Arabidopsis thaliana: one gene and its partners. The protein of the gene in region 1 purifies or fractionates together with the protein of each later gene. This does not show direct contact. Each region holds a gene or a part of one and is shown in the gene's direction. Other genes may lie near its edges.

Region 1 (5,334 bases):
AGTATGGAAGAGACCAAGCTGATGAGTTATCAATCAATAGCGAAGCAGTCAATGACCCATCACCAGCAGCTATTCATTTGGGAGAAGCATCATCAGATTATGCACAAAGTTCTGTTCGAGGTAATAAAAGCTTTTTTACTCATATCCATACCAATCTCAACATAAGAAATGAAACATTCTTTTACTGCGGTCAAAATAATTGATTAGGTGTGGAGAATCTTCATTGTGGATGGCTAATTGATGAGGAGGAGACGGATCCTGAGGAGGAAACGGATCCAGAGGAGAAGGAGACCGAGCCAGAGGATCCAAAGGAGAAGGAGACGGAGCCAGAGGAGGATAGTGATGGTGATGATGATGAGATCATTCAGCTTACTCCAGAACCTCTTTGTGAAGAACTTCAAGAGCTTCTCAGGGAAGTACGTGGACAGAAGAGGAGGAAGAAAGAGATGAGGTGGGACAAGTAAAGGAGCTATGGAGCTCCTGTAAGTAGCAAATTGATATATATGTTAGGAAGCCAAATAGTAGTAGTAAGCTATAGTATTGTGGTGAAAAAAGGTAAAACGACCCATCTTAACATCTCTTGAGATATTGGTTTTTAATAATTTGTGATGGAGTAGAGAAAGCAGATAGTCTTTATCAGTAGTTGTATGAGTCATACAATAGTACCCGAACCCACTTATCCAAAGATCAATGTCGAAAGTGGAAACCAAATCCCTCTAAAGTAAATTGAATAGCCAGTCTAAAAGTTAGACCAAATCTGAAAGTCGGTTTAATTGCAATTATACCTTCTAAATGCAAGAACCAATATCAACCGGTACTTCATATTCTTTTGATTTTTGATTTGTACATATAAACTTTTTTTTGTACATATAAACTTAAATGCAAGTATAGCTTGACTTGTATTTTACACATCAGCGGAAAAGTTTGAGAGAGGAAGCATATTGTATTTCGTTTGGTTACAACTTTTGCTAACTTTTACAATAAATGGAATGAAATTTTTTTCCACTTAATTCCTCCTGAATAGAAAGAAATTGATGCAATTTTGTTCCCTTTTTAAATCCATGAGCCAATAAGTGCATCTCCAATTATATTCCAAATTTCACTCTAAATACTAATTTAGAAAAAATCCTTTTAATACCACTATATTCTCAACTCTAAAAGGGAGTGATGAATATGGTATGATATCATCTGTCACTTCATTTTGGAGTTACCCTTTACTTTTTATTTACAAAATATTTTCCTAAATTTATACTCATGTTCTTCATTTATGTGTAAACAAAATTATATAAATGAAGAAAAAGAGTTATTGTTAACCTTCTCCATGTTTTCATTATAAATTGATATGAGCATTGGTTACCGTTCTTTCGGATAAAAACGAAGTTTATCTCTTGAAAACATTGTTCCTTTCATATTCATATCGCATCAATATATAATTGAAAAGTTCATTTATGGTGATCGATCAAATATATAACAAAATAAAATGAAAAAATACTTTAACATTTTATATATAATTTTTGAAGACAAAAGAGCTGTTTTTTTGTCTTTAATTGATTGGTCAACTGTTTACATATTCATTTTTTTGGTATGAACTATTTACAAATTCATGAATACAAAAAATATCTCAAATTTTTTTTTACAAGTCGATCCACTTAGTTCTTACCGTTTTTTTGGTATAACCATTATTTTATAAAACATCGTTCCCGCTAGATTTTTATCGCATCAAACATAGCGTACTACAAACGGAAACGGTCATCTATGGCGATCGATCAAATATACAACACCAAAATCGAATCCAAAAAATAGTTTACTTGAAGTATTTATATGTTTTGCTTCACTGCTAATTCTATGGTTTTGAAATCCTTTATTCTTCTCAAAAAAAAAAAAAGTTTGTCAATGGTTGTTGACATGGTCTTGCATAATATGTGGATAAATATTTGTTTTAATCATTTTCATCATCATTGCATATTCCCAAGTGTTATCAATTGTTTGACAAATAAAGAAAAATTAAAATTGATACCTTTTTATTTTAGTTAATTAATAACGAAACTGAAAATATTTCTCCCTTTGCATGCAATGTGGGTTTTAAAGACGGAAGCTGAAGAGTGAAGAAGAACAAAAGATTTTTGAGAGAGAAAAGTAGAGTCACTCCAAAATTGTTCTCTCGCAATCTTCTTTCTCGGTTTCCTCTTTTAAGAAAAAGTCCGCCATTTTCACTCTCACTCAGATTTCTTCCCTCTTCTCACCTGCAAAAACCCTTGTTTCCCGCTGTTTCGTTTCTTCTCCGGTTGAGGAACCAAAACGGGTCAAATACGCAGCTGAATCATCGAATTCTTAGGTATTTTCGTCTTACCCAACTCTTATCTTTAGATGTTTTTCCGGGAAAAGAGCTCGATCATGACTCCGCCGTGTTTTTTTTTGGGGGGGGGGGGGTTTCTCCGAAATGGGTTTCAAATGTAGGTTACTCTAGGTTTGAAAGTTCGGATTTTTTGGTTCACTGTGTGTTACTACAGCTTCGATTTTGTGTAAACGAGTATAAAAATTGTATCTTTTACAGATTTGAGAACTTGTTCTTCAAAGACTTGATTTTTCTTTGTATCAAGTTAGTGAGCTCAAATGTCTTTGTTTCTCTGTTTGTTTACATCTGATAAGAGCTAACTCGGTCTCGCTGGTGTGTGATTTTCGCTCGTTAGGGTTTTTTCATGGAGGAAGAATCTACATCAGAGATTCTTGACGGAGAGATTGTTGGAATCACATTTGCTCTTGCTAGTCACCATGAAATAGTAAGTTATAAGAGTTATACTCTCTGGAATTGATCCATCTTGTTCTGCATCAATGTTTATCATGGGTTTTACATAACTGAAGGATTTCGAATAGCTAAAACCTCTATGTTTTGGTTATCTTTGGCACTAAATTCACTATAATTGTACTCAAGCTCTGTGTGATGCTAAGTGCTACACTTTTGCATATAAATGTTGTTCTGCGATATATCCTCTGTCACTATTCCATTTCTCACTGGACTGTAATTCTTTCTTGCAGTGTATTCAATCGATTAGTGAATCCGCAATTAATCATCCCAGTCAACTCACTAACGCATTCTTGGGGTTACCTCTTGAATTTGGTAAATGTGAATCTTGCGGTGCGACAGAACCAGATAAATGTGAAGGTAATCCAGTTCCGTAGTTGCTATATTTTTGTTCTTACATCATTTGTTGGAATACTTCTTCAGATATCGGTATTTGTTTCTACATTTTCAGGTCATTTTGGTTATATTCAGCTTCCAGTGCCAATATACCATCCTGCTCATGTTAATGAGTTGAAACAAATGCTGAGCCTTCTGTGCTTGAAATGTCTGAAGATAAAGAAGGCAAAGGTATTACCTCATTGAGTTTTCTTAAATTCCATGTGATCCACACATAAATAAACCATATAAAATCTCGACTAATCTTTTTCACCTTTCTGAGTACAGGGCACAAGTGGTGGTCTGGCGGATCGCTTGTTGGGTGTCTGTTGTGAGGTGAGTAATGGCATATACATTCTGATTGTTTCCTTTTAAGTTTTACCTGAAAGCAAGTTGATAGATGTTTCTTATGTGAACCTGGTTCAGCATTTAGTTAGTTTTTCTAAGTTTTCCTTCAACTAGTTGCATGTTAGAAAACTTGCTAATTCAAATCTAAATAGTATTTGTGCTTCTTTTGATCCATTCAGTGAAAGTAACATTAATCAATGCTTGTGAAGCAGTAGCTATTGGTATTTTCGTGGCATCATGAAACATTCACTGCTTTATGTTATTTTGGATGTTATTATTGCTGAACGTCTTGGATTTTTAACTACTATATTACTTTATTAGGAAGCTTCGCAAATCTCAATCAAAGATAGAGCATCAGATGGTGCCTCATATCTAGAACTGAAGCTCCCATCTAGGTCAAGACTGCAGCCTGGTTGCTGGAATTTCCTGGAAAGATATGGTTATCGCTATGGAAGCGATTACACGCGTCCCCTGCTGGCAAGAGAGGTTTTTACTTTCTTCTGTGTGTTTATGTTTCTGTTTATGTAGGATTTTATGGTGACGTTCTTTTTGTTCATTTGGAATCATTCTCTATCTTTAAGATCTTTTCTTTCTGGAAACTGATGATTATGTACTTTCCGTGTCCTTTTCCATATGGTGGGAAAACAAATAGGTTAAGGAAATTCTAAGACGGATCCCCGAAGAATCAAGAAAGAAACTCACGGCAAAGGGACATATTCCTCAAGAAGGATACATACTAGAGTATCTTCCTGTCCCGCCTAACTGTTTGTCAGTGCCAGAGGCTTCTGATGGTTTCAGCACCATGTCAGTGGTAAGTTGAAACTAAATTACTATGTTGAGTTGAATGCTTTGGCTTGTGTTGTAACCCCTGGATTTGTGTCATTCTTATTTTCAGGATCCTTCCAGAATTGAGCTAAAGGACGTTCTGAAGAAAGTCATAGCCATAAAAAGCTCTAGGTCTGGCGAGACAAACTTTGAGTCGCATAAGGCTGAAGCCAGTGAGATGTTTAGAGTGGTGGATACCTATCTCCAGGTGAGGGGTACTGCAAAAGCGGCAAGAAACATTGATATGAGATACGGGGTGTCTAAGATCTCGGATAGTTCATCTTCAAAAGCTTGGACAGAAAAAATGAGAACACTTTTCATCCGTAAGGGTTCAGGTTTCTCTTCCCGTAGCGTCATCACTGGAGATGCTTACCGACATGTGAATGAGGTAGGGATCCCAATAGAAATTGCGCAGAGAATCACATTTGAGGAAAGGGTTAGTGTCCACAATAGAGGTTATCTACAAAAGTTGGTAGACGACAAGTTGTGTTTGAGTTATACTCAAGGTTCTACGACCTATTCTTTAAGGGATGGATCCAAGGGGCACACTGAGCTTAAACCCGGGCAGGTTGTTCATCGCAGGGTCATGGATGGGGATGTTGTGTTTATCAACAGACCCCCGACAACACATAAACATTCTCTTCAAGCGCTTCGGGTGTATGTTCATGAAGACAACACCGTGAAGATTAACCCTCTGATGTGTAGCCCCCTCAGTGCTGATTTTGATGGTGATTGTGTCCATTTGTTCTACCCTCAGTCTCTTAGTGCTAAGGCAGAGGTTATGGAGCTCTTCTCTGTGGAGAAGCAACTGCTTAGCTCACATACTGGACAGCTGATTTTGCAGATGGGTAGTGATTCTTTACTGTCTTTGAGGGTAATGCTGGAGCGGGTATTTCTGGACAAGGCAACTGCTCAACAGTTAGCTATGTATGGCTCTCTGTCCCTGCCACCACCAGCACTAAGGAAGTCCAGTAAATCTGGCC
Region 2 (8,433 bases), on another chromosome or scaffold:
ATCAACTGCATACCTTGATCCGCAACAAGCCATCGACAGGAGTTATCAGCAAAAAGTGCAATCTTCTCGTCTGCTTTCACTCCAACGACTCGTAAACCCTCAACAAAGTCCAAGATTTCTTGTTCCAACTGCAAAATAAGATGATTGAAATGAAAGGTTCCATTACTCATCCAAATTTAGCATCACTGTAAACTTCAAAAGTAATTACCCACCTATCTAGCAACAGGAAGTATTTCAGGCAGATAACTGAAACAACATTGGTTCCTAACATATAGATTAACACAGCAAATACCAAGGGACATGCCTGACAATAATCATAAGGAAATATCAATTTAGTATGCTTCCTAACATTCGAATATGGTTCATCTTCAGCACCCTCTAGCTACCTTCTTATTGACAAGCAGTTAAGATATGTAGATACAAAACTAATCGATAAAGAAAAAAAGCTGATGGCCAATCAATCTTAACTCTTAAACTTCAGTTTTTTCCCTAAGTTCTGTCATTTGCTTTAAAAACCTCTATTTCAAAAGTGTGGGGATCTAAAATAATAGCAATGAGATGCGAAGTAGTGTTACCTGTCTGTACGTGAATGTAGAAGGCGGGTCATGATACGGATCTACCACCGCAACTCTGTCACCGTACTTCTCCACAGATGATCTCCAAATATCAGGAACAGACTTCCATTCATTAGAGCTCAAAGCAGCCTCCCTTGGCAATGATAAGCGTTCTAAGAATGGCGAACACCGCCTTAACTCCTTCTCCTGAATCTATAAGAACGGTACACAATTGATGTTACATATAATTCAGGAAATGAACCATAAGGTAAACTTACAAGAACCCTATAAAAGCCTTTCAGGATCAAGCTGTTTAAACCCTGGTCATCAGAAGCAATTCAGCTTTCATAAGACAAGTATCCTAAACTAATAAGACTCAGAAGTCAGAGCCACTCGTTGTCTATTTTGGTGCAACAGCTAAACTTGAACCTTCCCCAAAGTCAATTCATTTCTTTAGATTACTTACTTCAAAAATCAAAGTGAAAGGAGCAATTTTTTAAGTCCACAAACCAAAAAGGAACTCGCCTTGGATTCGCAGCGAACTCGAAATCCCCTGCGTGAAGTTCTGCAGCCAAAAGCCTTGTAACCAAACACCAATCTCATCCCAGAAACTTGAAATTCAGGAGCTGAGGAGCAGTGAGAAACGAGAATCGAAGCTCCGAGAGACGTTGAAGCCATGGCTGAGGAGATAAGAGGTTATCGTGATGAAGTTGCTTGCATAGAGAGAATATATGAGAGGAGAAAGAGAGAAAGATGAAGAAGCAAAGAAAGGTAGAAAGAAAGAGACGAGAAAGTAGGTCGATGTCATGATTACGATTTTTCACAGGAAAGATCAGTTCCAAGTTGGTTGGCACCGCTACAGAAGCATGGCTTCTTCAGACTCTCAGAGATAATAAAACAAAAAACAGAGCTCAATACTTACACTTATATAATAACTTTTTATTTACTTATATATTATATTTCTATAATTAGATCAGATTTAACCTAATAAATCAAACTACCCATAATTATGATGTCCCAAATTTGGTAACTATTTGATGATTATTTCTAAACTGTAGGAGCAACCCCAACTTTGTATCTTAGCTAATTTTTAGGTATAAAAGTGATTAAATTTAATGAAACCAATAAACTTTAGCTAAGATAAACATCTTTATTAAGCCTCTCCGTCACTCACCAAAAAAAAAAACATCTTTATTTTATTTTTTTTGGTTAAACAAAAACATCTTTATTAAGATATTTTCTTAAAACTAAGAAAAGCATATGTGTTGTGTTTTGAGTGGGTAGACATTGTGTTGAAATAGTTTGTTGTTTCTTAAAATTCTAATCGTTCTTAACCATTGAAGTAGAAATTGGTTAAACTTCTTCCTAACTTTTCTTAACTTAGTAAAAACAACATTTTAATTTAAAATAAGCTTAAGATCCAAAATTAAAAATTAATTGATTTTAAACCATTGGGATTGCTCTGAGCTTTTTTAGTGAATTATGTGTTGTTTTTTTTCTTTGTGTTTTGGTCAAAATTAAGTTATATATGAAATTTATTAAACCAAACAACCAAATCGAATTAGATGTAAAAACCAAAATGTAGATGTTACAAATTTTGGAAAAAAAAAAAGATGTTACAAATTTTATGTCATGTGAACTTCTAAATATATTTCCTTTTCACTTTAAAATAAAAATAAAATAAAACTTAAACATAAAAATATAGATACCAAAGAGCAAAATTTAATAATATTGTCTACTAGTACTAGTGACGTCAATTTCTTCACTTCTCTTTGACTGCTTCGCTTAACCACTGAAAAAGTGTGCCAAGGGTTTTCTACGTCGAATCTCTCCGCATTCTCAGCGATTTTCCGGCGACGTTTACTCTGCACTCCTCCGACACCGCCGTTTTACTCCATCGTGCCAGCTTTAAGCAATCAAGGTACCTATTTTAGGTAATACGCTTTGATTCTGCTTTTAAGCATCGGAGAATATGTTATGGAGAATGATTCGGTTCTAAGGGAAAGTTGTTGATTTCGTGTTTGTATTCGCATGATTGCATTTTCGTGGTTCATGATTTTCACAGCTTTTTAATCAATTTCTCTGTCTTTGTTTAGGGTTTTTGTTCGTACAGTGTGTTTTGAGGTATGCCAGATATGGACATTGATGTGAAGGATCTTGAAGAGTTCGAGGCTACTACTGGGGAGATCAATCTATCTGAGCTAGGAGAAGGTTTTCTGCAGAGTTTCTGCAAAAAAGCTGCAACTTCTTTCTTTGATAAGTATGGACTTATAAGTCATCAGCTCAACTCCTACAACTACTTCATTGAACACGGGCTTCAGAATGTGTTTCAATCCTTTGGTGAGATGCTTGTGGAACCGTCTTTTGATGTTGTAAAGAAGAAGGATAATGATTGGAGATACGCAACGGTGAAGTTCGGAGAAGTCACTGTGGAGAAGCCTACTTTCTTTTCGGATGACAAGGAGCTTGAGTTTCTCCCATGGCATGCTAGGCTTCAGAACATGACATACTCTGCAAGGATCAAAGTCAATGTCCAAGTTGAGGTAACAGAAATTCTTTGTCGAAATTAAGTAACCTTGTCTGGATTTGATGAATGATAAAGAACACATGGTATAAGCTTATTTCTTGATGTTTCTACTAGACTCTTTCTGACACATATATGAAGATGTTGACATACACTGAGGTTCCTGTCATAGATTTCTCAATTTAACTTGCCATCAAATAATTTACTAAGGGTTAAGGAACATATTTGTCTGAAACTGGTTTCACTCTTTTTGGCTTTACAAGTTTTCTGTAATTGGATTTGGTTCCTTATTTGCATTCGCTGGATTTCTTACCTGAGCAAAATATCTAGTAAAAGAGATTTATTACAGTTACATGTTCGTGTGAAGTAGAGGTGTATTTCAAGCTTGGTTGTGTTTAAGATTGATGATTTTGTCTGCTCCCAATCTTTAGATGTTTCTTGTTTAAAATTTGAATTGTGATTACTTTTCCTTGTAGTGGTGGGTATTCAAACGAAATAAGCTTTAGTTTGTTTCATTTTAAAGTTTGGATGCAATAAAAGAAAAACATCTTCAGCTTTTTTTTTTATTTAGTTCTTCCCCACTGCCTCACTGTGCTTTAGTTTGAGTGTTTTATGCTTGTGTGCAATGACTCTTGTACTGTCAAACTTTTGATGATGTTTCTGTTTTGCTGTCCATGTATCTTATTCTTATAAATGTAGTTTATTGTCTAACTGCTTCTTCACTCTATAAATTGACTAGGTGTTCAAGAATACTGTTGTTAAAAGCGACAAATTCAAGACAGGACAAGACAACTATGTCGAGAAGAAGATACTGGATGTCAAAAAGCAGGACATTCTAATTGGTAGCATTCCTGTCATGGTGAAATCTATCCTTTGCAAAACAAGCGAGAAAGGGAAAGAAAACTGCAAAAAGGGGGATTGTGCCTTTGATCAGGGTGGATATTTCGTGATAAAGGGGGCTGAGAAGGTGAGTTTAACTAATACATACATATATGCATATTGCCATTCAATACGTACAATAACTTTATTTTCTATGCCAAAACGGATTTTGTTTGTCAGCAATCCATAAAACGGATTATAGTTACAATTTTCTATCATCAGATAATAGTGTTTATCAGCAAAAAGATGTTACAAATTAGACAATAACCTATTTGGTTCATTTTATTTTCCTAATGGAGATGAAGTAAGAAATTAAGAAACTTAACTTATTTATGACTTTGTATACTTCGTTAGCATCAAAGATATAAACTTTTTCTTTCCTTTCTGGCTTGACCATGAGGCCATGAGTATTCAAATCTTACAGGAAGCGTTCTTTGCAATCTTAGGCTCTGGGACAGATGATTTGACTCTAATATATTCTGGAAAAAATATTTTCAAGTTGTTATACTTCTCCCTAACGTTATTATATTGTTTTGCAGGTGTTTATAGCTCAAGAACAGATGTGCACAAAGAGACTGTGGATTTCTAATTCACCATGGACAGTCTCCTTCAGGTCCGAAAATAAAAGAAATAGATTCATTGTGCGCCTCTCGGAGAATGAGAAAGCAGAAGACTATAAGAGAAGGGAGAAAGTACTGACAGTGTACTTCTTGTCGACTGAGATTCCAGTCTGGCTCCTCTTCTTTGCGCTAGGTGTTTCGTCAGACAAAGAAGCCATGGATCTAATTGCTTTTGATGGTGATGATGCAAGCATTACCAACAGTCTCATAGCTTCTATCCATGTAGCTGATGCAGTTTGTGAAGCTTTTCGCTGTGGGAACAATGCTTTAACATATGTTGAACAGCAGATCAAAAGCACCAAATTCCCTCCTGCTGAAAGTGTGGATGAGTGCCTCCATCTGTATTTGTTTCCAGGCCTCCAAAGTTTGAAGAAGAAAGCTCGATTCCTGGGCTATATGGTGAAGTGCCTTCTGAACTCGTATGCGGGAAAAAGAAAATGCGAAAACAGGGACAGTTTCCGGAATAAGCGAATTGAGCTCGCTGGAGAACTATTGGAGAGGGAGATAAGGGTGCATCTGGCACATGCTAGAAGAAAGATGACCAGGGCCATGCAGAAACACCTCTCAGGCGATGGTGATTTGAAGCCTATTGAGCATTATTTGGATGCTTCTGTTATCACAAATGGGCTTAGTAGAGCCTTCTCTACTGGAGCATGGTCTCATCCTTTCAGGAAGATGGAAAGGGTTTCAGGTGTTGTGGCTAATTTGGGTCGTGCAAATCCATTGCAGACTCTGATTGATCTGAGGAGAACGCGACAGCAAGTCTTATATACCGGCAAGGTTGGAGATGCTAGATATCCGTAAGTGAATTCCACCTCCTCTGGTATATTTAAATATATCTCACGTATTTTAACTTACTGGTCTGGTCTGCATTTACTCCATTTTACATGTCTTCAGACTGTTTTAAAGATATTCGTAATAACTTTAATTCAATGTAGTATATGATGCCGATCACTGTTTCTGCAGTCTCTTGTCTGTGTATAATACTTATTTTGTATAGATGTTACTGCTATTAAAAAACTCTGATACTGTCTTTCTTGTTTCTTTCTCCCTTGGTCAATCTATCTGTTGAACTCTTGAGATTATCCATTTTGGTTCCTTTTCAATGTGAGCGGTTAGACAATTAAATCGTGTTGGGAAACTGAACTATAGCTGCATTGTTTGTAATGTTGGCCACAGGCACCCCTCTCACTGGGGCAGAGTATGCTTTTTGTCAACTCCAGACGGTGAAAATTGTGGTCTTGTGAAGAACATGTCTCTTCTGGGACTTGTGAGCACCCAAAGTTTGGAGTCTGTGGTGGAAAAGCTCTTCGCTTGTGGAATGGAAGAGCTGATGGATGATACATGCACACCATTGTTTGGCAAACATAAAGTTCTTCTCAATGGAGACTGGGTTGGATTATGTGCAGATTCTGAATCCTTTGTCGCGGAGTTAAAAAGCAGGCGGCGCCAAAGTGAATTACCTCGTGAGGTATCTTCTGTTTCAGCAAATCTCTTGCTATATTTTGATATTCTTGTGTTACTTGGTATTTGCTTTGGATTTTTCTGCTTCAGATGTGTCTATGTCGAATATTGTTTATATATATGAAACGTTCTCTGCAGATGGAAATCAAGCGAGATAAAGATGACAATGAGGTAAGAATTTTCACTGATGCTGGTAGACTACTCCGACCTCTCTTGGTTGTGGAAAATCTCCAAAAGTTGAAGCAAGAAAAACCTTCACAGTATCCTTTTGACCATCTTCTTGACCATGGGATTCTCGAGCTGATCGGGATTGAGGAAGAAGAAGACTGTAATACAGCATGGGGAATCAAACAGCTTCTGAAGGAACCAAAGATATACACACATTGCGAATTGGACCTGTCATTCTTGTTGGGTGTGAGCTGTGCAGTTGTCCCATTTGCAAATCACGACCATGGGAGAAGAGTTCTCTACCAGTCCCAGAAGCACTGCCAACAAGCCATTGGATTCTCATCAACGAACCCTAACATCCGCTGCGATACGCTGTCCCAGCAGCTGTTCTATCCTCAGAAGCCACTGTTCAAGACATTGGCGTCGGAGTGTCTTAAAAAAGAAGTGCTGTTCAATGGCCAGAACGCAATTGTTGCTGTGAATGTTCATCTCGGGTACAACCAAGAGGATTCCATTGTGATGAACAAGGCTTCATTGGAACGTGGTATGTTCCGTTCAGAGCAGATTAGAAGCTACAAAGCAGAGGTTGATGCTAAAGACTCAGAGAAGAGGAAGAAGATGGATGAGCTTGTTCAGTTTGGAAAGACACACAGCAAAATCGGCAAAGTAGACAGCCTTGAAGATGACGGGTTTCCTTTCATTGGTGCTAACATGAGTACTGGCGATATTGTCATTGGCAGATGCACCGAGTCTGGGGCTGATCACAGTATAAAGCTCAAGCACACTGAGAGAGGAATTGTGCAAAAAGTGGTATTATCATCTAATGATGAAGGGAAGAATTTTGCTGCGGTTTCTCTGAGACAGGTAAGTTCCAGATCATACTAAATCGAGCTGTTTTTTCAGAGAATGCATTCCTATGTATGAATCGAATGTTCCATTGATTGGCTTTTACATCTTACAGGTTCGTTCTCCATGCCTTGGAGATAAGTTTTCCAGTATGCATGGCCAGAAGGGTGTTTTAGGCTACCTAGAGGAACAGCAGAATTTTCCTTTCACGATCCAAGGCATAGTTCCTGATATTGTGATAAACCCGCACGCTTTCCCTTCTAGGCAAACACCAGGTCAACTCTTGGAGGCTGCTCTCTCCAAAGGAATCGCTTGTCCTATACAAAAGGAGGGTAGCTCTGCTGCATACACCAAATTGACACGTCATGCCACTCCTTTCTCCACTCCGGGTGTCACTGAAATCACCGAGCAGCTTCACAGGTACATTCTTCACATTGTCTCTTGGTTTTAGCTCGTAAAACAGAATATAAAATTATATGCTATAACAGATTTACATTTGCTTCCTATACAAATAGATGATATCATTAAGGGCAGGAACATATTATTGATAATATTTCCTCGTTGAAGATGTTTAAACTTGGAGACTTTGGCTACAGAATTTCCAAAAGTTGATTGAGCTAATATACTGCACAAGGCACTAAGCTAGATTTGAGCACCTTACTTGAAACATGTCATAGTGGATCTTTATTTTGTTTTCTAGGAGTACTAGAAGTGAGCATGAGTTATCTGTCTCTGTAAGACTAAAAAACTAAGAAGTTCAATGTTCTATGGTTGATTAATTTCTTGTATTGTGCCTGAAAAACGTCTAGAGAATACAGAAAAATAGGCTCAAGAGTCATGTACCAGTATATAATTAGTTAGAGGATTGATGCTGTGAGCCTTGTGATCTATGTATAATTCATTTAACCTTTCTTAGATTATTGTTGATTCTTGAGTCCTGATTCATTACCAATGGTAAATATTTGTGATTAGGGCCGGCTTTTCAAGATGGGGAAACGAAAGGGTCTACAACGGTAGATCAGGTGAGATGATGCGTTCTATGATATTCATGGGCCCAACTTTCTACCAGCGACTTGTCCACATGTCAGAGGACAAAGTCAAGTTCAGGAACACTGGACCAGTCCACCCGCTCACACGCCAGCCAGTTGCAGACAGGAAGAGATTTGGCGGGATAAAATTTGGAGAAATGGAGCGAGACTGCCTAATAGCTCACGGTGCATCAGCTAATCTGCATGAGCGTCTCTTCACTCTAAGTGACTCTTCTCAGATGCACATCTGCAGAAAATGTAAGACCTATGCGAATGTGATCGAGAGGACTCCAAGCAGTGGAAGAAAGATTAGAGGGCCATATTGTAGAGTCTGCGTATCCTCAGACCAT
Region 3 (4,797 bases), about 10 Mb from region 1:
CTTTTGTCCCTGGACCGCAACGTTTGTGAAGCATCTCATAGCTTCTAAGCTTCGAGACAAGATATTCAGACGGCTTGTATGGTGAAGGCTTGCGATACAAGAAAGTTTTATGATACCTACTCAAGCAAGAACCTTCATCGAAATCTGCGGTTAAAAGCCCTCCTATTAGTCTATCCCGCCCCGGTGTTTCGGATTCGTCTGAACATATAACAAAAAAAAAGGTCAAAAGGAGAATTCTTTGAGCTAACAATGAATGACAAAACATGGATGCTTATTTTTTTCTTTCTTACCGTTGATTGTAGCAGCAAAAAGTTTATTGTTGAAGTTGTTTGAGAATGAAAGTAACATAACAGACAAAATTAGTAAGGTACTAAAGACGATGGTTATCAGAATTTTCGTCTTCAATCCCAAACCCTTGATAACTTCGCCGGAGATCTGAAATATATGATACATGTTGACTTTTAGTTTGTGAAGATGATTCAAAAAGAGTTTACAACGCTTATATAACTTGATTACAACTTTTAATGTCAATCACTGATCAATAAGATAAAACTTTGAATATTCTAATGTGTCATTGTTAAGTTGTGACTATCAACGAACTCCAAACGTGACTCTATTTTGTTTAATAGAAGAAAAGTCTTTAAACTCCAAATTGTGATTTTGTATTATATAATATTCAGAATTATCGAAGAAACTTCCTATGGGAGAGCTCTTGTGAATTATTAACAATTTGGAATCCAAACAACTAGGATTTGTCAGGCACGTTGTGAAGACCATGACATTGATGTATTGAAATATGCAATAATTTGTAATTACATAAATATTGAGATCTGTTTGACATGCCCAATCAAAACATACAATCATGTCAATAATTAAGTGATCCCAAATTGTTTAAACGATTTACCTTAGTGATCAAAGTCCTAAACTCGTTTAAAAAACTAATGGTCAAAAGATTCCTAAAAAATTGCAAGTAGGCCACGAAACATAGAGAAAGTGATATGAACTTTAAGTTTCTAACAATACACCAATAAAATTATGGTCCAGATTTTGATCTATATGTAATAGGTTCATGAACTTAGTTTTAAAAGTCACAAACGGTATACGTAGATTATTGTTAACATGAACGACTAACAACGACATAACACGCGCAATTCATATGACTCTAGATGTTACCCTTGATATTCACATGCATGTAAAACTCTCAATATGCTATTTGAAAGTCTCCGGGGGTTGCCACGTCATCACATCGCTCCAAAGGCCCCATTTGTTTTTTCATTTTTTTTTCCTTTATTAAATGTTTTTCTCATCGACCAATCGTCCTCTGACTTTTTTTATTTTGACGAGGGAAATGTATTCAGATTCGAGCGGAACCGCGGTTGGCCCGGTAAACCCGATGACTCAGTCACTAATCCAGTTTGGCTCCAACACTACAATCCGCTAATTTTCAATCAGGTAAATTTTGAAAATCTCTAATAAATTCCGGTAATGGTATAACCCGCGATATGGTACTACTAGTTGAAACCGTCGTGCTTAAAAATGTTGATTAAAATTCAACTTTTTTTTTTTGGCTAAACTGCAAATATCATATATATGAAAAGGATGGTTTTACAAGGAAGTTAAACCCGGAATTGGTTTCTTGGCAAAATAAAAATAAAAAAGGAAAGCAATATTAGAATTTTGGACCAGACATGATCAGTGCACTTAAAGCCCCAAAACCCACTAAAATTCTATTTTTAAAAATAATTTATATTTTCTGTTGGATAAAATATATTATATGTAATCTTTTAGATTTAGGTCAAGATTTAATTGTGTCAATGAAAATAAGCGGAATAATTATGAAAATAAGCGGAATAATGATGAGTACAACTTGTACATTGTCCGAAACCATTCACATAATTACCATTAAAATTAATTATGTAAAAAAATTTTAATTGTAATTAGAAAGAATAATTTTGGAAAAACACTATATAAAGATTAAAACAACAAATTTACCATTATTCTTTATGAACCAATGCATTTTTAATCCTTTTTACTCTTTATATAATGTTTTTAATCCAAGTTACTGTTAAAAATATGGAATTTCGATTCTTTTTAATATTTGTATTTCCAAAATTATTATTATGTAATTCAAATTATAAAGATTAAAAAGTCTTAAAATAACATTGGGTCATTATTTGAATTGATGTAAACAGAAAATCCATTGTAGACATTTTGACCATTCCCAATAACTGTTATGAGAAGCCTGAAAATGCCCAGTAAACAAAAGAATAGGCCCATATAGGCCCAACTTAAACTACTATAGTTCTTCTTATACCTTTTTCCACTCTCACTCACTTTGCTCTCTCCAAATTTCTTCTTCTTCTCCGGCGAAGAAATCGAAAAGTCATTACCCTAAGAGTCCCAGAGTCGTCAGAAGGAACAGCTTTTGAAATGGACGGTGTCACCTACCAAAGATTCCCAACGGTGAAGATCCGTGAGCTTAAAGATGACTACGCCAAGTTCGAGCTTCGTGAAACCGACGTTTCAATGGCCAACGCTCTCCGTCGCGTAATGATCTCCGAAGTCCCCACCATGGCAATCCATCTCGTCAAAATCGAGGTTAATTCCTCTGTTCTCAACGACGAGTTCATTGCTCAACGACTTAGTCTCATCCCTCTCACTAGCGAGCGTGCTATGAGCATGCGGTTCTGTCAAGATTGTGAAGATTGTAATGGAGATGAACATTGCGAGTTCTGCTCTGTTGAGTTTCCCCTTAGTGCTAAGTGTGTTACTGACCAAACCCTAGATGTTACTAGTAGGGATCTCTACAGTGCTGATCCTACTGTTACTCCTGTTGATTTCACTAGTAACTCATCTACTTCTGATTCAAGCGAGCACAAGTAAGTCCCTTTTCATCATTGTAGTGATTATTTGTTCTTTATGAATTGATTGGAATTGCTAAGCTTAGATATTACACAATGCTAAACAAAATTTGACATCTTTAGATGCCCTTTGCATGAGTCTTCCTTTTGGTAGTTCTGTGGCTTTTTTTTCTGCAGTTTCTTAGACTGTTATTGTTTTGGTTTCAGGGGAATTATCATTGCGAAACTACGCAGGGGACAAGAGTTGAAGCTTAAAGCATTAGCTAGGAAAGGAATTGGGAAAGATCATGCGAAATGGTCTCCTGCAGCTACTGTTACGTATATGTATGAGCCTGACATTATTATCAATGAAGAGATGATGAACACTTTGACAGATGAGGAAAAAATTGACTTGATTGAGAGCAGTCCTACCAAAGTGTTTGGCATTGACCCAGTCACCGGACAGGTTAATTTCGATGTTCTGTAAGAATAACATCTATACAAGTTTATAGCTTTGAGACTTCAATATGATTGTACTACTTTATAGGCTACCATGCTTTGAAATATATGTATGTGATGTGGTGTATGAATTTTCTTTAAGTGTTTAGTGCGTTTAGCTCATTTCTTTTGCAGTCTATTGTTTGAATCATCACAACTGTAATTATAATACTTTGCTTCTTAGGTTGTGGTGGTTGATCCTGAAGCATACACTTACGATGAAGAAGTGATCAAGAAAGCTGAAGCAATGGGGAAACCGGGACTCATTGAGATCCATCCGAAACATGATAGTTTTGTATTCACTGTTGAGTCCACAGGTGCATTGAAGGCTTCTCAGCTGGTACTAAATGCCATTGATATCCTGAAGCAGAAGCTTGATGCAATCCGTCTCTCAGATAACACTGTAGAAGCCGATGATCAGTTTGGTGAACTCGGTGCCCATATGCGTGAAGGATGAAATCGTAGCTCTTTTTTTACCTGTTTGATCAGGGTTTAAGTTTCTTCTAGACCAGACTAATATATTAACCGTAGCGGCACTGCCTTGTTTGATAGCAACATGTAAAGTGGCAGTCTTGTCTTTGTTCCCGACCTCTGACTGATCCTTGTGTTCCTGAACCTTGTTATGTTGGGTTATTTTTAGTCGTTGAACTCTCTCGTAATTGGCGTTTTTTTTGTTGTCATTGTTAAGAATGGGTTAGTTAATATAGGAAAAAAGATTTTAATTGATATTAATTAAGGTAAAAACAAAATATTAAACTAATATTGAAAAGTTTAATATTATATTAGTGAGATACTCTAACAAAACCAAGTTAATATTTTTCTATTAATTTATCTAAAAAAATAATATATATCCACATGTTAGATATATATATGTATACTTAAAAAAAAAATGTGAGTGGATGAAAAATATTTGTTTCTTCTTAATGCTGATACCTAGGAGTGTCAAAATGGGTAACCCAACTCAACTCAACTCATAATCAAATGAGTTTAAAGTTAAATGAGTTATAGGTTGACCCAACTCATTTTGTTAAATAGATTGGATCAAACTATAACTCATTTAATTTGATGAGTTGAGTTGTTAAATGGGTTAACACATTTAAGTAATAATTAAATTAATTTATTTACGTGTTAAACACTCAACTGTAATGGCTACTCTATGTCTTCCTCCTACTTAATTTCCAATGCTTCCGGAATCCTTATCTTACATTTCTCGACCACATTTTTGAGTAATAGTAATAGGCTAAGGCGCTCGCCGTAAATTATTTAAGTGCACCTGAGAGTAAATGAGTCAATAGGTCAAGTTGCTCCAGGTATGAAATTCACGAATTAAAAATGCTGTAATATACTCTTTCCCATAACTTCTCATACCAGACCAACATTATTATTATAAAACAATAATAAATAATAATTATTATTAATTCATTATCATCAAACTTATGATATTTACGGATTCCACTTT
Region 4 (4,869 bases), on another chromosome or scaffold:
GCCCTCTAAGAACTTGTAACGGCCCAATTAGATTGCTATATATTCACGATTGTGCAGTTGGAAATATTAAAACCAAAAAAAAAAAATAGAAAGGCGGGAAAGAGAGTTAGTTACATCGTCTTCTCCGGCGAGACAAGACGACTGCGATTGGATTTCTCTGAAGCGCAGGTATATAAGTGATAGATCACCATTGATACTCTTCAAGAAGATCCCATTCAATTCAAGCTTTATCGAGTAAGATCTTTATTTTATTCCATGGAAACCGATTTGAGATTTACACGAATGATCCAAATACGTCTCATATCATGCGATTTCAAGACGAAAATGGCGTAGTTTTATTCAATCGAAGGCAATTTTGAAGATATCAAAAAGATCGATGCTTCAATTGCTTGATCTCTAACGTGTCAGTTTCTTTCTTTTTGTTCAGCGACGATCCTTCTTCAGTGGCCATGGTTTCTGGAGATACAAAATCGGATGCGAACAACGTTACTTATGGGTTCGTGAACTTTTGTATTTCCCAAAGCCAATTTTGTGGAAATGAGAGAGATCGATCGATGCTTAAAGCTCTGCTTCAACTAATAATGTCAATTTCTTTCTCTTTTTTTCAGAGACCTTCCTTCTTCTCCAGCGGCTACGGATTCTTCAGAACCTTCTTCCTATGCGTTAGTGAATTTTATTGTATTCTTTAGAACCAATCTTTTAGAATTGATCTTTGCTTTTCTGGTTATGTTTTGATTGATTTGTTATCTCATTTTCAGTGAACAGCTTGAAAGGCTCATGATGATAGATTCAGAAGAAGACCGGGGTCCCTCTGGGTTTGTGACCTTCTCGATTCTTTAACCACCAATCTTTGTTTTCTCTGGTCTATCTATGTTTTGATATTACTCTTTTTTTGTTGGTTTTGTTTCAGGTTTACGACTGATGAATTGATCTTTCAGGCTTTAGAAACAGTCTACGAGAATCATAATGGTCTTGATGTCGATGCGATTTTCACTTTTATCAAGGTTAGGAGGATCTCTCTGTCTCTATAAGTATCTGTGTTTCATGGTCATATCTCATGAGTAGTGTATATTGGTTCTGAAATGTGAGTCAATAGCGGGATTACACAATGGAACATTAGGATCTGAAAATTTGACTTCATGTTCCATCCCCTAAAAGTCTTCCTTTTAAAGTCTTGGTTTTGTTGATTCCTCCGTTGTTCTTGATCAACTAACCATCATGTTCTTGTGGTTAATATAAATTGCAGGAAAGGAACGAGTTACAGGAAGATTTTAGGGAGCGGTTGGAAAACCAGCTGAGATATCTAGTTTCTGAAGGCCAAGTATACAAGGTAACTAGTTTTTCAGAGTTGCCTCACACTAATGTTAAGATTCAGTAGTTTTGTTTGATCAGTTCAGAAAAACGGAAAAAAAAACTTGTAAATGCAGGTAGGAAACCTCTACAAGATCCCCCGTGGTGTATTTGATACTCCAGTTGTGTCAGTAGGAGATTCAAATCAAAGAGAAACCATGGATCCAGAAGATTCCACGGGCACAAAGGCACAAGACACACCAAGTACTTGTGCTTCTTTCGCACCACCAACAACAGAAGTAGATCCTCGGATAATCGCATTAGCAAAAGAAGTCGCAGAGGCAGAACACTTGGAGTTGGAAGCAAAAGAGGCATACGAACTTGCAGATAAACACGCCCAGTTGCTAAAATTAGAAAGCAACATAACCTTGCAGTTAGCCGTAGAAATCCTTAATCGATGTAAGTAATGTCCACCTCTTAACCTTTTATCATCATCATCATCACTGACTTTTTCATTTGATTTGGTCCTTGCAGGTGCTAACGGTGAAAAGATTTTCCTGCTGTAAAAGCTTTGACCTTCTGGTCCGGTTCAAGGTGGATATATTCGATCACCGGTTTCTTTTTAGTGTTTTTGGTTTTGAGTAAAAAAAAGAGTGTAGATATGAAATGTGATTTCATTTGACTAACTAGTCATAGTTTGTTACTTTGTGGTTAAATGATTTTGGTTGTGAAGGCAACAGACTATTCTGTTAGTTTTTGTTAATACAAGTTTTTACAGATAATGCCAATCTTAAGAATTGAATAGGTTTTTCTAATACATAACATAAGAAAGAAAAAAAGAAAGTGTGTCATGGTGTCTTTAGCAAGTATTTTTAACGGTCGAGATTAATTTCAAATACTGATCAAGAAAGAAAAAAATTAGTTATGAGAATTACAATTTTATAATGGGCCTCATTGTAAGCCCATTATAAGCTTACATAGGACTTTTATGAGTTTTTGTTCTCAGTCTGTCCCTTTAATTGTTTTTTGGCTCTTCTATCGCCCATCGCTTGGGAGATTAAAGTCTGAACTTTTTGATCTCAAGCTTCTCCATCTCTCCCTCAACTCAAGCTCCTGGTTCGGAACTATTTACTTTCCTATGCGATTGGTTGTTTATAAGTTGATTTCAGAGTTCGGATTCTTGTACTCATTAGATGTCCATATAGGTCTTGTTTACTGGTTTAATTGGGGTTTTATCAAGGAAATAAAGAGTGTTTAGGGTTTGAATTTCCGTGTTTGCAGATGGCGAGCAATATCATCTTGTTCGAGGATATCTTCGTGGTCGATCAGTTAGACCCTGATGGCAAAAAGTTCGATAAAGGTATACACTTTATTAGCCTCACTCACGATTTCTAGTACTTCTCATGGCTTACATCGACGTTTGTTCATAGCTGTTTAGTTCATGTATGTATTGTGAATGAGTTCTTCCGTTTATCCTTTTTTGGTCTGAGTGTGTGGGTTTTGTGGAAAAATTTAACTTTTTAAGTTTTTAGTCTCCCCCAAGTTTTGTTCTGTCTTCAGATTGAGTGGCTTTCTCTTAAACCTACAATGATTTTTGTTGTGTTTGTGGTTACAGTTACTCGCGTTCAAGCTACGAGCCACAACTTGGAAATGTTTATGCATTTAGATGTTAATACAGAGGTTTATCCATTGGCTGTTGGTGATAAGTTCACACTTGCGTTGGCTCCTACGCTGAATCTCGATGGAACCCCTGATACCGGTTATTTTACTCCGGTAATAAACTCTACTGCTTTTTATTTAGTTGTTTTGTTTTGAGTATATACACAGTCTCTTGTTTGCTTGGCCAAATTTCCATGAATGGTAACTTTGAACCCGTATCTGGATTTTGTTAGGATATAACTGTTAATGCTGCTAAATGGTTGATATTATAACTCTGTTGGCTGATTCGAGAAGCCTGTCTATCTAGGAATAAGAGGAGACATGGAATTTTAACAAGCTTTAGTTCTTGAATCTTCAAGATCTAAATTTGAAAACCAAGAATGTGTATGCATATCTAAACATTAATCTTATCTAGTTTTCATCTCGATACATTACAGGGAGCAAAGAAAACACTTGCCGATAAGTATGAATACATAATGCACGGGAAGCTTTACAAGATCTCTGAGCGTGACGGCAAAACTCCAAAAGCGTAAGAATCCCATATAACCCCCCCATATCAAAATAATTCAATCCAATTCAACTCACATATCAAACCATCATGTTTTATTTTATTTTCTTTAAATTATGTGTTTCCAGAGAGCTATATGTTTCGTTTGGCGGCCTCCTGATGTTGCTTAAGGGAGATCCAGCTCACATTTCTCACTTCGAACTCGACCAGAGGCTCTTCCTACTCATGAGGAAGCTGTGAGGTGCCATTTTTTCGGATAAAAACTGAATTAATAGAGAGCTTGATCTAATGTTTAACTTTTACTACTTCAACTCTTGCAATTTTCATGAAGCAACTCTTGTGCAAAAGCAAGTTTTTCCGTTCCGTTTTAAATCCCATTCCACAAATTGACTGCTCCGGTCCGGTGAAATGTACTATTTGTAGCTCTAAGCTATTGATGAAGATAAGCAATTGAGACCAAGAACATAACAAAAAACACAGACAAAGACACAGTTTTTTTTTTGGTCAAGGACACAGTTTTGTTTCTTCTCTAACCAATTTTCACTACACTCTTATCTTCTAACAACAATATGAAGCAATAAAGCTCGAAAAATAGATTCTGAGCCAAAAATAGAGTGTTTTCTCTAATCCATGCTTGTGTTTTCTCTAGTCCATGTTTGTGTTCTTGCTTCTTTGAGACTGGGAGAATATATCTTGGACGGTCGAGATTAGTCTTAAAAATTCTGAACAGATCAAGATTTAATTTTAAATCTGTATAGTGGGCCATGTTTAGGCCCAATAAAAGCTTTTGATGAGGCCTTCTAAATGGTATATATTTCGACTTGAAGAGAAAGAAAAAACAACTAGAAAATCGGAAGAATAAATGGACGGTGGAAGAAGGAAGCCCTTCTCGCCGGACTAGCCAAGCACGGTTCCGGAAAATGGACAAGTATTTTAGACGATCCAGAGTTCGCGGCTCAACTTCTAGATCGCACAAACATTAACCTCAAGGTAATCGAAAATTCCCAAAATCCCATTCGTCTTCCATGGAAATCGATTTTTGAGATTTATTATGTGGAATTAGGTCGAAATTTGGGTATTAATGTTGTATTGTTTATTCTTATTGCCCAAATTTCAAGGATAAATGGCGTAATATAAAGAAATCAAGGACACAATCACTCGAATCTACCTCCATTTTCACTTCACCTTCAGAGACTTCTCGTTCTGTTGTTAGCTATGAGGCTTCTCCTAGTAGTTCATCTGATATGAGCAATGATGCTAGGTTTGTTATATTTAGAGATTTTTTAGAATTGGTATGTTCTAAGTTCTAACAGGTTCTTCTTTACCTTGTTGCAAGGTATGATGCGATGGTTTTTGAGGCTGTATCAACAATTAATGATGAAAATGGTTCCAATCTCAAAGAGATTCTCAGA

What was found.
Region 2: the proteins of NRPD1B (region 1) and NRPD2A purify together in Arabidopsis thaliana (affinity purification with mass spectrometry; 2 studies listed by BioGRID, with this or other methods). This does not show direct contact.
Region 3: the proteins of NRPD1B (region 1) and NRPE3B purify together in Arabidopsis thaliana (affinity purification with mass spectrometry; 2 studies listed by BioGRID, with this or other methods). This does not show direct contact.
Region 4: the proteins of NRPD1B (region 1) and NRPB8A purify together in Arabidopsis thaliana (affinity purification with mass spectrometry; 2 studies listed by BioGRID, with this or other methods). This does not show direct contact.

Annotation. Positions count from the first base shown.
Region 1 is NC_003071.7:16,712,390-16,717,723, forward strand, and holds the start of NRPD1B (nuclear RNA polymerase D1B), read left to right. Parts: upstream 1-2,070; 5' UTR 2,071-2,335; intron 2,336-2,690; 5' UTR 2,691-2,699; coding exon 2,700-2,780; intron 2,781-3,036; coding exon 3,037-3,163; intron 3,164-3,254; coding exon 3,255-3,370; intron 3,371-3,466; coding exon 3,467-3,514; intron 3,515-3,847; coding exon 3,848-4,012; intron 4,013-4,178; coding exon 4,179-4,337; intron 4,338-4,421; coding exon 4,422-5,334. Other genes in the region: AT2G40020 (Nucleolar histone methyltransferase-related protein), read left to right, coding at 1-120, 208-464. UniProt on the Arabidopsis thaliana protein: DNA-dependent RNA polymerase catalyzes the transcription of DNA into RNA using the four ribonucleoside triphosphates as substrates.
Region 2 is NC_003074.8:8,568,067-8,576,499, reverse strand, and holds the start of NRPD2A (nuclear RNA polymerase D2A), read left to right. Parts: upstream 1-2,290; 5' UTR 2,291-2,488; intron 2,489-2,650; 5' UTR 2,651-2,680; coding exon 2,681-3,097; intron 3,098-3,817; coding exon 3,818-4,045; intron 4,046-4,496; coding exon 4,497-5,377; intron 5,378-5,756; coding exon 5,757-6,048; intron 6,049-6,179; coding exon 6,180-7,073; intron 7,074-7,170; coding exon 7,171-7,475; intron 7,476-8,027; coding exon 8,028-8,433. Other genes in the region: AAE16 (AMP-dependent synthetase and ligase family protein), read right to left, coding at 14-128, 576-767, 1,080-1,232. UniProt on the Arabidopsis thaliana protein: DNA-dependent RNA polymerase catalyzes the transcription of DNA into RNA using the four ribonucleoside triphosphates as substrates.
Region 3 is NC_003071.7:6,710,592-6,715,388, forward strand, and holds NRPE3B (DNA-directed RNA polymerase family protein), read left to right. Parts: upstream 1-2,303; 5' UTR 2,304-2,430; coding exon 2,431-2,879; intron 2,880-3,068; coding exon 3,069-3,306; coding exon of another isoform or gene 3,307-3,327; exon of another isoform or gene 3,328-3,522; coding exon 3,523-3,795; 3' UTR 3,796-4,018; downstream 4,019-4,797. Other genes in the region: FUT4 (fucosyltransferase 4), read right to left, coding at 1-198, 291-453. UniProt on the Arabidopsis thaliana protein: DNA-dependent RNA polymerase catalyzes the transcription of DNA into RNA using the four ribonucleoside triphosphates as substrates.
Region 4 is NC_003070.9:20,252,639-20,257,507, forward strand, and holds NRPB8A (RNA polymerase Rpb8), read left to right. Parts: upstream 1-2,299; 5' UTR 2,300-2,406; intron 2,407-2,571; coding exon 2,572-2,650; intron 2,651-2,905; coding exon 2,906-3,063; intron 3,064-3,386; coding exon 3,387-3,478; intron 3,479-3,585; coding exon 3,586-3,697; 3' UTR 3,698-4,050; downstream 4,051-4,869. Other genes in the region: AT1G54240 (winged-helix DNA-binding transcription factor family protein), read left to right, coding at 450-496, 609-662, 759-815, 911-1,004, 1,247-1,330, 1,428-1,749, 1,825-1,856; AT1G54260 (winged-helix DNA-binding transcription factor family protein), read left to right, coding at 4,702-4,718, 4,794-4,869.